Linked DNA regions of Macaca mulatta. The protein of the gene in region 1 binds, or shares a complex with, the protein of each later gene. Links are inferred from orthologs where the notes say so. Each region holds a gene or a part of one and is shown on either strand. Other genes may lie near its edges.

Region 1 (6,509 bases):
TGCCTGGAACACAGTATGTACTCAAACGTTAGCTATTAATATTACTAACAGTTGACTTAAATGATCCCCTTGGGGCCAATGCCCAATCAATAGCTAAATCTTACCAATTCTATCACCAAGGAAACCTCTCCTATCGTTTCCTTTCTCTTCATGTTCACAGCCCTAACTGGTATCTCTGATTCCAGTCTCTCTCCCTTTGAATTCAACTCACACTTTCCTAAAGAATTAAATCCAAGCCCCTTAGCTTAGCATTTAACGTCCTTCATGTTTGGGCCCCAATTTACCTTTCAGTCCTTTTTTTCCCACTACTTTCTGGAATCCACCACTCTAGCCAAATTAAATTACTCTTCTAGATATACCCTATGCTTCCCCACTATGATGCCTGTTCATTTTATTCCCTCCTGGAATGTCTTCTCTTTACCTTCAAAGGTCCAAATCTTTCCATCCTCTTTCCAGACATAACTCAAATGCCATAATGCCTTCTCAATTAAAAACAATCTCTCTCTCCCCAGAATACCTTCATGTTATTTATATGTCTTTTATAGCACCAATCCCTTTTAACTTTATATTTTGCTTATGTACTCTGCAGGTTCTCTGTTGAAAGATCCATGCCAGTTCTTACACTTACTACATACTCAAATAAATGTATGTTGAAGGCTAGGCGTGGTGGCTCACATGTGTAATCCTGGCCTATTGGGAGGCCAAGGTGGGTGGATCACTTGAGAACAGGAGTTCAGGACCAGCCTGGACAACATGGTGAAACTCCATCTCTACAAAAAATATAAAAATTAGCCAGGCATGGGCCAGGCGCAGTGGCTCATGCCTGTATTCCCAGCACTTTGGGAGGCCAAGGCAGGCGAATCACGAGGTCAGGAGATCGAGACCATCCTGGCTAATACGGTGAAACCCCGTCTCCACTAAAACTACAAAAAATTGGCCGGGCGCGGTGGCTCAAGCCTGTAATCCCAGCACTTTGGGAGGCTGAGACGGGCGGATCGCGAGGTCAGGAGATCGAGACCATCTTGGCTAACACGGTGAAACCCCGTCTCCCAGCTACTTGGGAGGCTGAGGCAGGAGAATGGCATAAACCCGGGAGGCGGAGCGTGCAGTGAGCTGAGAACCGGCCACTGCACTCCAGCCTGGGCGACAGAGCGAGACTCCGTCTCAAAAAAAAAAAAAAAAAAAAAAAAAAAAAAATTAGCCGGGCGTGGTGGTGGGCGCCTGTAGTCCCAGCTACTCAGGAGGCTGAGGCAGGAGAATGGTGTGAACCCAGGAGGCGGGGCTTGCAGTGAGCGGAGATTGTGCCACTGCACTCCAGCCTGGGCGACACAGCAAGACTCCATCTCAAAAGAAAAAAAAAAAAATTAGCCGGGCATGGTGGTGCACACCTGTAGTCCCAGCTACTTGTAGGGCTGAGGCAGGAGGACTGCTTGAGCCAGGGAAGCTGAGGCTGCAGTGAGCTGAGATCATGCCACTGCACTCCAGCCTGGGTGACAGAGTGAGACCCTGTCTCAAAACAAAAATTTAAATGTAAATTTTAAAATGTATGTTGGATCTACCTTTGGGAGTATTCTGGTTTTATATATATATATATATATATCAGCATGTATATAATATTCATTCAACATGTATCCATCTATCCATCTTCATGTTTATATTATATATTAAATATAATATTATATATGATATATATAATATTGAATACAAGTTGAATGAATATTTTGCAAATAGATATTAAAATCAGATTTAGCTTCAACAAGAAAATTTCAGCCTTGAACTAGAATTTTCTGATCTAACCTGTATTACAGCTCCTTCACAAAAGGAAACTGGAACAAAAAGTACTACACTTTCTAACCAGTGGTCATATTATTTTTTTTTAGTTCTGGATTTTAAGAGGTCACATACCCTTCCTTTCACTTCCAGAGTCTCAACTGCTTTTGATCAGAAACTTCTCAAATTCTACAATATACATTTAGATTTAAAAGCAAAGTGAGCCTGGGCAACATAGTGAGACCCCATCCCTACAAAAAATTTAAAAATTAGCCTGGCATGGTAGATGCATCCTTGTAGTCCTCGCGACTCAGCAAGCTGATCAGGAATTCAAGGTTATAGCCAGCTAGGATCGCTCTACTTCACTCAGATCACTGCACTCTGCCTGGGTGACAGAGCTAGACTCCATCTCTTAAAAACAAATTTAAAATATTTAATTTTTTTAAATTAAAAAAATTAGGCTGGGCACAGTGGCTCACGCCTGTAATCCCAGCACTTTGGGAGGCTGAGGTGGGAGAAGTGCTTGTGCCCAGGGGTTTGAGACCAGCCTGGCCAACACAGCAAGACTTCATCTCTACAAAAAAGAAAAATTTTTTAAAGTTTAAAAACTAAAGCAAAGTGATATTATTTAAAATACAGAATTGTAATTCAGGACTAACTAGTTCTACCTATTAACAGAGTACACCAAGCTCACAAAACACAATAATAAACAATAAGGATGATGACCACCATTCTTTCCAAGTAAAGCTGTTGCTGATCTCCTGTTTATAAGGCTCCAAGATGATTTTCAAGCCCAAGAAACACCCTGTATTTGACTCATTCAGCTACAGTTTCACTCAGACCCTAATGGGGAGGAGGGAGTTTTAAGACAAGCAATACCATTCTGAATTCCACCAACAACTCTACCATGCATTACTTGCTCTGTGGTTGTGGCTAAGTCTCTTAGCTTCCCTGTGTACCAGATTTGTTCAAGAGCAGCTAAGTAGGGAAGGAAAACAAAAGCCTCATCTGCCTGAAATCCAAAAATACACCCCAATGCTTTGTTACAAAAGACAAAATAATGTAAGTTGAAATGTTGCTGGTGAATTATCTTTATTAAAACAGAAGTCATCCCACCTCTCAAATACCAGTCATTGTGTCTGATTTCCGAATTCATTACAGGAAGAACTGTGTATGAAGTCATCCAAACACATGCACTCTCCACTTCCCTTAATTGAAAGTTGCTGATTTCCGAGGAGCCAGGGGCTGAGCAGAATGTAAACCTAAAGCCTAAATCAGTAAACAACCCCATCCAAACTGGCCTAAGAGGAAAGCGAGGTGGGTGGGGAGGAAGGTGGATGACAGGAGAAACTCGGCTGACCACTGCGCCAAGTCAACGCACTCACAGCTCTCGAGATGACACACACTCCCCTTCCCACCCTCGGGCTGTTTTGGTCCCAGAACCGTGGGGGCAGAACTCCAGAGAAGCAGCTCAAGCTTCAGCTGGGGCCGGGGACCCTCGGGCAGCCCGGGCCTGACAGACTGGGGGAGGCAAGCCCACCGCCCCCAGGGTGGACAGCCCGAGACAGCCCCAGGTGTGGCCTCGGCCGTAGTCCCAGCCGGGCTCCGCGACCCGACAGTCTCACCCAGGCCTGTCCCGGGGACAGCTCCCGCCCCCCAGCTCGGTACCCCGGCTCACTGGCTTGGCTGATCCGCTGGATGTTGCCGCTGCACGTCTGGATGATGCTGCTGAAGTCCCGGAGCTGGGGCCCTGAGGGCCCCAGGTTCCGGTACATATCTAAGGGACCGTATGACATGATGAGGAGCTGAGACCTGCTCGCCCTACACCACTCTCCTACCGGAAGCAGCCGCCAGCCGGGACCCGCAGGCTGACGGAGAAACTGGGAAGAGCAAGGGCGGGGAAGAAGCTAAGGCTGCGTGCGCACTAGTCCCGCCCCCACGCAGCGCGCACGCGTCCTCCCCGCCCCTGTTCAAAGTGCGCAGGCGCCGCTGGGACTGGGGCTGGGACTGTATCTTAGAGACAGGACTGCCTGGGGCTTGGGGGTTGCGGGGCGGAGAGATGACGTCACCTAGTTGGGGCTGAGATTGGATGAGCTTGGGTGGAGGTGTTGTTTCTCGCCAGGGCACATTGACAAGAGGCAAGAATTTTCGATTTGCATAAAACTGTACCAGATGATCTCAGCCCTTACATCCTATTCTGTTTTGAGAATTCAGGCCCAAATATGGGAGTATTCAACGTTGAAACTCAGACCAGGAACCAAATCGTAACCCGAAATTCCTCTCTACTTCCGTCCCCAGGGTTTTGGTAGTATTTGGGGTTTCCAAACCGCTTTCATTTCTCCCTCCACCCCTCTTCTAATCTAAACAATAAAATAATAATGTTTATTAAGCACATACTATGTGTGAATCCTCACCGCAATTCACTTGTTCATAAGATTTTTCACAGCAAGGGACGATGCTCTGTCTACATTTTTATCATTAGAATAGATAGCGGAGAGTCGGTTTTTTAAATATTGAAGTAAAGTAACTCATCAATGTTAGCATTATTATTTTCCCTATTACCGATGAGAAAATTAAGACCAGCGAGGTTACTTCGCCTTGCTGAAGTTTGACTGCAAAAGCCAAACGCTAAGCTGACTCTCTCCTCACCTTGCTACTTCTCTAAAATTCATTCTCATCGAAATCTCTCCCAAATAGCTCGTTCATCTATATCCCAAACCGGGATTTCTTGGAGAACTAGATTCCTAAAATTTAAAAATCATACCCTTAAATACTTTGGAATGCATGACCTCAATTTTCCTACAGAAGACTGCATTTCTGTAAGCGTATGTTAAAAGGAAAGACATAGGATTTTGGTTTGGGAGGAGATCAAGATGGTGAGAAGTGAAGGGGAACTGGCTGTTTCCTGTGTTCTCCACCCCACCCCAGCCTGCTTTGCAGTCTTTGGAAAATGCAAAGACGGAAAGCTGCTTGCCTGGGTGAAAGGAGACCCCAAGTGAATGAGCCTGTATATGGCCTTAGGGTTTTTTCTTTATTTTATTTTATTTTTTTTGAGACAGGGTTTCGCTCTGTCACACAGGTTGGAGTGCAGTGGCATGATCTCCGCTCACTGCAACCTCCTTCTCCTGGGCTCAAGAGATCCTCCTACCTCAGCCTCCAAGTAGTTGGGACTACAGGCGTGCGCCACCACGCCCAGCTAATTTTTCTATTTTTTGTAGTGATGGGGTTTGGCCATGTTGTCCAGGCTGGTCTCGAACTCCTGGGCTCAAGTGATCACCACCAGCCTTAGGATTTTTTAAGGGTGGCTATCTCTATTTTTCGTTGGAGAATTTGAGAGCATTTTTTTCCCTCTCTCTAGAAAGAGATGGATGACATCCGGGGGCTCTTGTTTTGGTTATTTTATTTTATTTTTGAAATGGAGTCTTGCTGTGTTGCCCAGGCTGGAGTCGAATGGCGCAGTCTTGGCTCACTGCAATTTCTGCCTCCTGGGTTCAAGCAATTCTCCTGCCTCAGCCTCCCGAGTAGCTGGGATTACAGGCATGCACCACCACAGCCCGGCTAATTTTTGTATTTTCAGTAGAGATGGGGTTTCACCATGTTGGTCAGGCTGGTCTTGAATTCCTGACCTCAGGTGATCCACCCGCCTTGGCCTCCCAAAGTGTTGGGATTACAGGCATGAGCCACCGCACCGGCCTGTTTTGGTTATTATTATACAACCTTACTGTTTCTTAGAATCTGTAGTTTTATGTCAAATCTTATAGCAAGTCATGTAAATTGCACTTTTTAACCTATATGATAGTCCTGATAATTTTTAAATTTACATTTCACACTATATAAAGTGAAGTTCAGTAAAGGTATTTTTCTTATAGGAATTAAAAATATTGTTTTCTTTCTCCATGTACAATAAAAATCGTTTTAAGGCTGGGTGCGGTGGCTCACTACTGGAATCCCAGCACTTTGGGAGGCTGAGGCAGGCTGATTGTTGCTTGAGCTCGGGAGTTCGAGACCAGCCTGAGCAAAATGGCGAAAGCATGTCTCTACCAAAAATGCAAAAATTAGCTGGGCACAGTGGCCTGAGCCTATAGTCCCAGCTACTCCGGAGCCTGAGGCAGGAGTGTAGCTTAAGCCTGGGAGGCGGAGGTTGTAGCGATCATCTCTCATAGCAGTAAATCTGTGCCTTGCAAATACTGGATGTCAAACAAACATTTGTTGGATTAACACATGAATAATAAAAATAATAATTTTATCATTTCTTAAATGCCTCTTAGGTGCCAGGCAGTATGAACACATTTTGTGTACATTATCAGTAATCTCCAAGATAAAACCCATCTGATAAAGACCACCTGTAGTCAGAAAAAGTTAAGTTTATTAACTTGCTGCTGCAAGGGAAACTGCACGCCAAAGGAATCATGCAGCGTGTCACAAAACACAGGAAGACAGTGAGTTATTCCAGGATTTGGGGGAAAGAAATGTAGATAAATTTTTAAAGAAGCAGTGTTTTGATAGCCCCTAAACACACCAGGCTATGTGTAAAGGGATTATCATCAGGCCCTAGCTAACAAGATCCTGTTTCCTTGGAAACCATGATGCCAAGATAAATGTGGAATGTTGTGTCTGGAAACCCCTTATCTGAAGCTCTGCACCTGCGTTAGAAATTGAGGCTGCTCTTCTGCATCAAAGTAACTGATCCTCCAGGTAAGAGTGGTATATTCCATTCTTCTTGATAATTTGAGCAACAC
Region 2 (5,857 bases), on another chromosome or scaffold:
TCTCAATGTGGCCTAACTACTGCTCTACATTTTTAGGGTGTCCTTTAAAAAAAAGCCTAGCAGTGTACATGTATGAGCCAAATAACTAGCATGGTGACTTCTTACTGACTTCATTAAATTATTTCTTATTATTATAATAGGTGCTTGTTTGAATGCTTCTATATGTCTATAAGCCAGAGATGATTGTTGTTATAGGTATGAGTAAAGAGACAATGCCAGAGGGAAAAGGAGAGAGAGATGTAGAACAAGGTAGTCAGATAGGTTGCCAAGATTATAAGAGAGGCATCCTTCTAGTATGGAATAAGGCACCTCCCAGGTAATGGGGAATGAGTCTGAAAACGATTTATTCAAGGCAGCTGGTTATTTATGAGGTCAAGCCATACCTACTGTCTTCTAAAAGGGTCTGCAGATTGGAGAAGAGACTGCCTAGTGTCAACCAAATAAGATGATCATGGCACGGGAAAACCTCATTAAAACTCAGCAGTATGGCTTTTTAATGAATGTTCTAAATTGCCTATAACAGTATTAGGGTTTCAGAGTTCTGGGGTGAAAACACTGTCTCCAGCATAAGCTCTCTTCTACTTGAGAAGGAATGCACCTCACCTTGAGTTGACTCAAGTACCTACAGCTGCTGATAACACATTAAATGAGCCCTTGCCTTGAAGAGAGCAGAAGCCTAGAGACAGTTCACTACCAATAAGCATATGTAGGTGAGCGTATGAGGATTACTTGTGCAGGGCGAATACACTAAAATTAAAATTGTTCTAAATGGAGTCTGACATACATGTGCAAAATGAAAGGGGAAAGGGAGAGCAGAATCATTAACATTACTTATAACCTGTAAAAACCAACAGCTAAATTCCATGATGACAAAATAGACTAATGGACATCAGATCTCCTCCACCTTTGCTGACATTTGCTGGAGTGGCCTGGGCAAGACATCATCTCTAAGTCATTATTCTCATGTTGGTTATGTTCTATAGGTCAAATATCTAATTATACCTAAGATAAATAGACACATTTATCAAATACTGTTTATATTTTTCAAATACATGAATTGAAATACGTGTCTAATGTATAATGCATGCATGCTACTTTAACATTTTATGTCATTTGGGTACTCCTGAGAGTTATTCTCATGTGCACTCCGAGTCATTTTTCCTTACTCAGATTTTCTTTTCCATAGAGCAAATTGGTCAGGAGATGTTGGAAAACCTTAGTCATGACAGAGAAAAGATACAGCGAGCACGTGAAAGAGTAAGTACAAGTGATATAGTTTTTTCACATATTCAGTAAATGAAGACATAAATGAAAGGCATTGGGACATAAACAGTAGCAATTAGGTAGTTATATGTATCTAAGGTGAAAGAGGGTGTAAGGTCTGTGGAAAGGAAAAGAAAGAGAGTGACATGGAGCAAATAGCAGCCGACTCTATGTCCCCATCCCAGAATGCTCCCAGGTGGGTATTTTATTTACTTCTTATAGAGGAGAAGGTCACTGAGGGAGATTTTGGAGTATGTTCATCTTTTAGAGTGAAACTATAGAATTATTGGTGGTCATCTTTTCTCAATTCATATTATTTTTATGTTTTTAGGACTGCACATTCATAAGTTGGAGATGAATTACCAAATGTTTATGAAACTTTTTCAGCCTGTGCTTTGCTTTTATATCCAGTTCTAGTATCCAGCTTAAAGCTCCCAAGATTACCTCTCATGTGTCATTCTCCAAATATAAGAATTTTCCATGTTTGTGTAGCTGTCAGAAATGTATTTATTTTTGTATATTTGAACATTTTTATTGTTTGGATTTTCTACCGTGAAATAAATTGTCACTTGCCATGCACTTTAGAAATAGTCTAATTGCATGAACTTTTGTTTTGTTTTAACATTGCTGTTCTTCTTGTAGCTTCGGGAAACAGACGCTAATTTGGGAAAAAGCTCCAGGATTCTGACGGGGATGTTGCGAAGGTAAGAGCAAGGTAGGGACCCATCTTTCTCTCTGTCTCTTTTTAAAACTATTATGTTTTCATTCAATTGCAACGGGGCATATTACATGCTTTTAAGCTTCTGCTCTTAGTGCCCTGTGTCAGGACCCGTTTGAAATAATAAAGCACTGATATTAACTCTTGTTTGGACAGGGACACATAGTAACACAGATTAGAGAGAAGGCTTGAGCTAGGGGGGTAACCTGAAGCTATGGAAAAAATTAGGGTTAGACATGAAGTGTTTTTTCATAGCCTGAGGAAGGCCCCATGGCAGGAGCAGGCTGATTTTATTTTCTATTTTGATGGCCTCCTTCTTATGGAGGGAATGCAGACCTACCATTTTCAGGAGCACAGTTGCTGTTAGTTTTGCTCTGTGTTGCCTTGTTTTCATTTCTTTAAGTGACACGGTTTGGGGAAACATTTCTGTTTTATGTATACACTGAAAGATGATTTATAAAACGTCAAGATTATCTGAATAATATGTGCTAACAAACAAATGTTCATGTTTTATATGTGTAACTCAACCTTGATTGATGAAAAATATGCTAAATAGTATGAGAAAATAAATGAATGAATGCAGGTAATGTTCTTATAAGTACATTCAGTACAAAATTATTTCACATTCAGAATCTACCACATAAGAATATCATCTAGCATGACTGTCAGTTTGGAACTGTGGATAGAAAAGTGAATGAGAAACATTGAGAATGGCCTCTGGAATAGCTTAATTAGAATTTTGAAGAAGGAAATCTTTATAGTTGATACTATAAAGACAACCATCTAAAAATAACTAAAGTCTTCTTTGATCACGTATCCATATACAATAGTTTGCTAAAAGTATGTTTGCCGTGTTACAGATTTATTACATAAGAATCAATCAAATGTCTAGTGGTTTGGTCTTCAAGACTGTTAAGATTTTTCTAAGCAGCCTGACCAGTAGCAAGCTTAAAGTTCCTGGGACATTTCCAGCCAAGGCTTGCATAATATGACATTCCTTCTCATTTTCTTGGACCCTGACTCCCAACTCAGAATCATAAGCCATCACATTCTCTGATTAAGAGTACTAGGTAAATGGCCTAAGAAAAACTCAGAATTCAGAGAGAAGGGTAGTGGTGATTGAAAGGAATGCTTCAGTGCCTATAGACAATAAAAAAGAAAGGAAGGGGAGGGAAAAACCTCTGTTGCTTTCCTGGGAGGGCTCCTGCGTCGTGAGCTGTAACGAATATTCTGCATATGTCTCCATTTTGTCAAATCTCATTAAAGAGTCCTCCTGCTTTATGTCAATTGAGCTGTCCAGAAATCATTCATCATTTTTAGTGTAAAAAAAATGATGTGGTTATTTAAATAATATCATATTAATGTTAAAGTTCAGCTGTCATTTAATGGTATGGCTTAATCAGATGTAGCATTTAGGAAAAATAGTTTATGCGGGCTCCACGTGGCTTTCAGGTTGGCAGATTCAAATAAGGATTTATGGGTTTCGAAACCCATGTATTTCTGTCCATGTTTCTGCTTGATGTACCTCACCCTTTAGTGCAGGACACTGCAGACAGTTATTTCAACAAATAAAGCATCTCCTCATATTGTGTTTGAATAAATTTGCAAGTCATTTAGAGAGGGCGAAGCACAAACAACTTCGACAACCTTTGACTGGGCTTTCTGTAGGGAAATCATAATAACGTGGTTGTTTCAGAAGCCTACGGAAGAAAATTACTCTGGTGAAATCTACATGGGGTTCTCTTTGTAAGCAAACTCAGTCAATCACTGACTCATCTTCTTTTGGGATGTGTCTAGAGTATGAACAGAAATAAAAATTCCCAGATGGACATCACCTTGCTACATCTGAACCAAGGGTACGCTTAAGTCCACCTGTTCATATGCATGACAATGTTTTTCACTAGGCACAGCTGGGATCTTGGTATCAGCCAGGATATTCAGATATTTTCAACCAATGCCTTGACCTGGCAATGGTCTCTGGGGACCAAATGCAGTGGTGGTTTTGTTTTAGTTTCTAATTACTGCCCCATATGATATACAATGTATTTTGGACTTGGGAAAAGGTACAAACATTTTACCAACCTCTCTGCTTCATTATTTTGGTTATCTCATGGAAAAGCTCTCTGCAGAGAAATAGAGGCAGGGTTTATGTACCAAAGCCTCTTATTGAATGCTCTGATTTTGCTTTCTCTGTTACATCCCTCCCATTCATTCATATGGCTTTCGCTTCCAGCCCTGGTGAGCTTGTATTTCAGAAAGAAAAGCCACATTCTCTTACTATTCTTCTTACCAAAACTGCATAGCTATGTCGTGTGTCAGCAAGCGCTTCTGATTTAGGAAATGCTATGATATTGAATTGTGCTCATCTGCCACCTTCACAAATGTGTAAAAGAAATGAATGTCCTCATTGTGCAGTGCGAGCATTTACCTGCATATAACATAAGCTTAATTATTTTCATATGATAAATTCTGTGTGACTGAAAATAGTTAAATATTCTGTAGTATACCAAACCAAGGAATTGCTTTGTTTAAAAGAAATATTGCAGGTTATTTTTTAATTCTTTTAAACCTTGATTGTTCTCAGATTTGTAACGTGAGCAAAAATGGCTTGGCATGGCTCCTCATTTGAGCCATTTTACGTATGGTCTGTTGTGAAGACAGGTGAAAACACTGTTCCATTGGTACCAAGATCTGTGCATATGTCCACTTGATTATCTGTAAAACTGACCAAAAGGAGTTGGGGAAATCAAAATGAGTAAGCAACAAAATTAAGTTTATAAAATCCAGCAGCCACTAAATAATCATCTACCACTCATGCTTTTTTATCTTTTTTTAAACTTCAAATAAGATAAACATCTATTTCCTTCCTTCTTTCCTTTCTTCTTTTCTTTATTCTGCTTATTCATTTCCTTAGTAAATATTTACTGTCTGTACACCAGGGCTGGGGATCCTGAAATGAACCCAATTTTATCCTCACTTTCACAGTACTTTAGTGTAGTAGAAGACATATGCATAAAAATGTACCATGGAAATTCACAAAATTAACAGATTCTCAAGGCATCTATTAAAGATTCCACAACTCCAGTTAGTCCTTGCTGGTCATTAAAAGGGACACGAGGAAAACAAATAACTAATAAAAAAAAAATATGAGTTAAATGGCTATAAAGCCAACATGTTTGGAAAAAAATAGAGAAATAGAAAATGGCATATGGAATCATTACAAACAAATTTTGAAAAGAACTAAGGTATGCAAAAAAATTGACATATAATATGTAATTTAGTGAGATAGCAACTGATTCAACCAAAAAGAAATTGCTCTTTGTGTAAACACGCCATATTACCAAAAGGAAGAAAACAAAAGAGAAAATTAGTCAATTCAAAGTTATAATAGTAAAAGTCCACATCAGAACACAGCTATGACTGATTTCCTGGAAAGTAATTTTTCTTCTATTCTGACATAAGATGGAGAGTTATCAAGGGACAAACTGTTCATTTCCTAACTCTGTAGACAGAGTTTACATAAAGTAGAATTCAGATAATAATGAAAATGGTCATGAAACAAATGACCATTTATGTTGTAACTGGGTCCAATAAATGGATTTTTTCATTGACTTTCACAAAATTTGATTTTTATAATTGGCTGTCTTAAAGTGTCACAGTATCACTAGGAGGCTGAAATGTTTCTCTTCATATGTATGTATTGATGTGTGTGTTTGTGTTTTTTTTCTATACCTTTGAGCAGAAAGTCTTATTCGTTCAAACTGTTGGCAATCAGTACAAATGAAAATTAAAATTTTCAAAATTCAGAGTCAGAATAAAAAGAAATCGTGATTCTGTTTCCTTTTACCTCTGAAGAGTTAATGATTGATCACTAAT

Evidence for each region. Proteins that work in one complex are often made in the same cells at the same time.
Region 2: the proteins of STX12 (region 1) and VTI1A are in contact, whole or in part, in a crystal structure (PDB 2NPS), measured with the Rattus norvegicus proteins. The link is inferred for Macaca mulatta from reciprocal best matches to the Homo sapiens genes STX12 and VTI1A. Residues at the interface, in NP_075228.2 of Rattus norvegicus: Glu185, Ile188, Gln189, Leu191, Glu192, Ile195, Leu196, Val198, Asn199, Phe202, Lys203, Leu205, Ala206, Ile209, His210, Gly213, Ile216, Asp217, Glu220, Val223, Glu224, Ser226, Glu227, Val230, Glu231, Ala233, Ser234, Asp235, Leu237, Gln238; in XP_038945999.1 of Rattus norvegicus: Arg131, Arg134, Ser135, Arg138, Leu139, Ala141, Gly142, Ile145, Ala146, Glu148, Thr149, Ile152, Gly153, Met156, Asn159, Leu160, Asp163, Arg166, Arg169, Ala170, Arg173, Leu174, Glu176, Thr177, Asn180, Leu181, Lys183, Ser184, Ile187, Leu188.

The regions. Positions count from the first base shown.
Region 1 is NC_133406.1:213,166,204-213,172,712, forward strand, and holds the start of STX12 (syntaxin-12), read right to left. Parts: upstream 3,581-6,509; 5' UTR 3,567-3,580; coding exon 3,449-3,566; intron 1-3,448. UniProt on the Homo sapiens protein: SNARE promoting fusion of transport vesicles with target membranes. Together with SNARE STX6, promotes movement of vesicles from endosomes to the cell membrane, and may therefore function in the endocytic recycling pathway.
Region 2 is NC_133414.1:124,808,403-124,814,259, forward strand, and holds part of VTI1A (vesicle transport through interaction with t-SNAREs homolog 1A), read left to right. Parts: intron 1-1,186; coding exon 1,187-1,257; intron 1,258-1,905; coding exon 1,906-1,967; coding exon of another isoform or gene 1,968-1,971; exon of another isoform or gene 1,972-1,978; intron 1,979-5,857. UniProt on the Homo sapiens protein: V-SNARE that mediates vesicle transport pathways through interactions with t-SNAREs on the target membrane. These interactions are proposed to mediate aspects of the specificity of vesicle trafficking and to promote fusion of the lipid bilayers.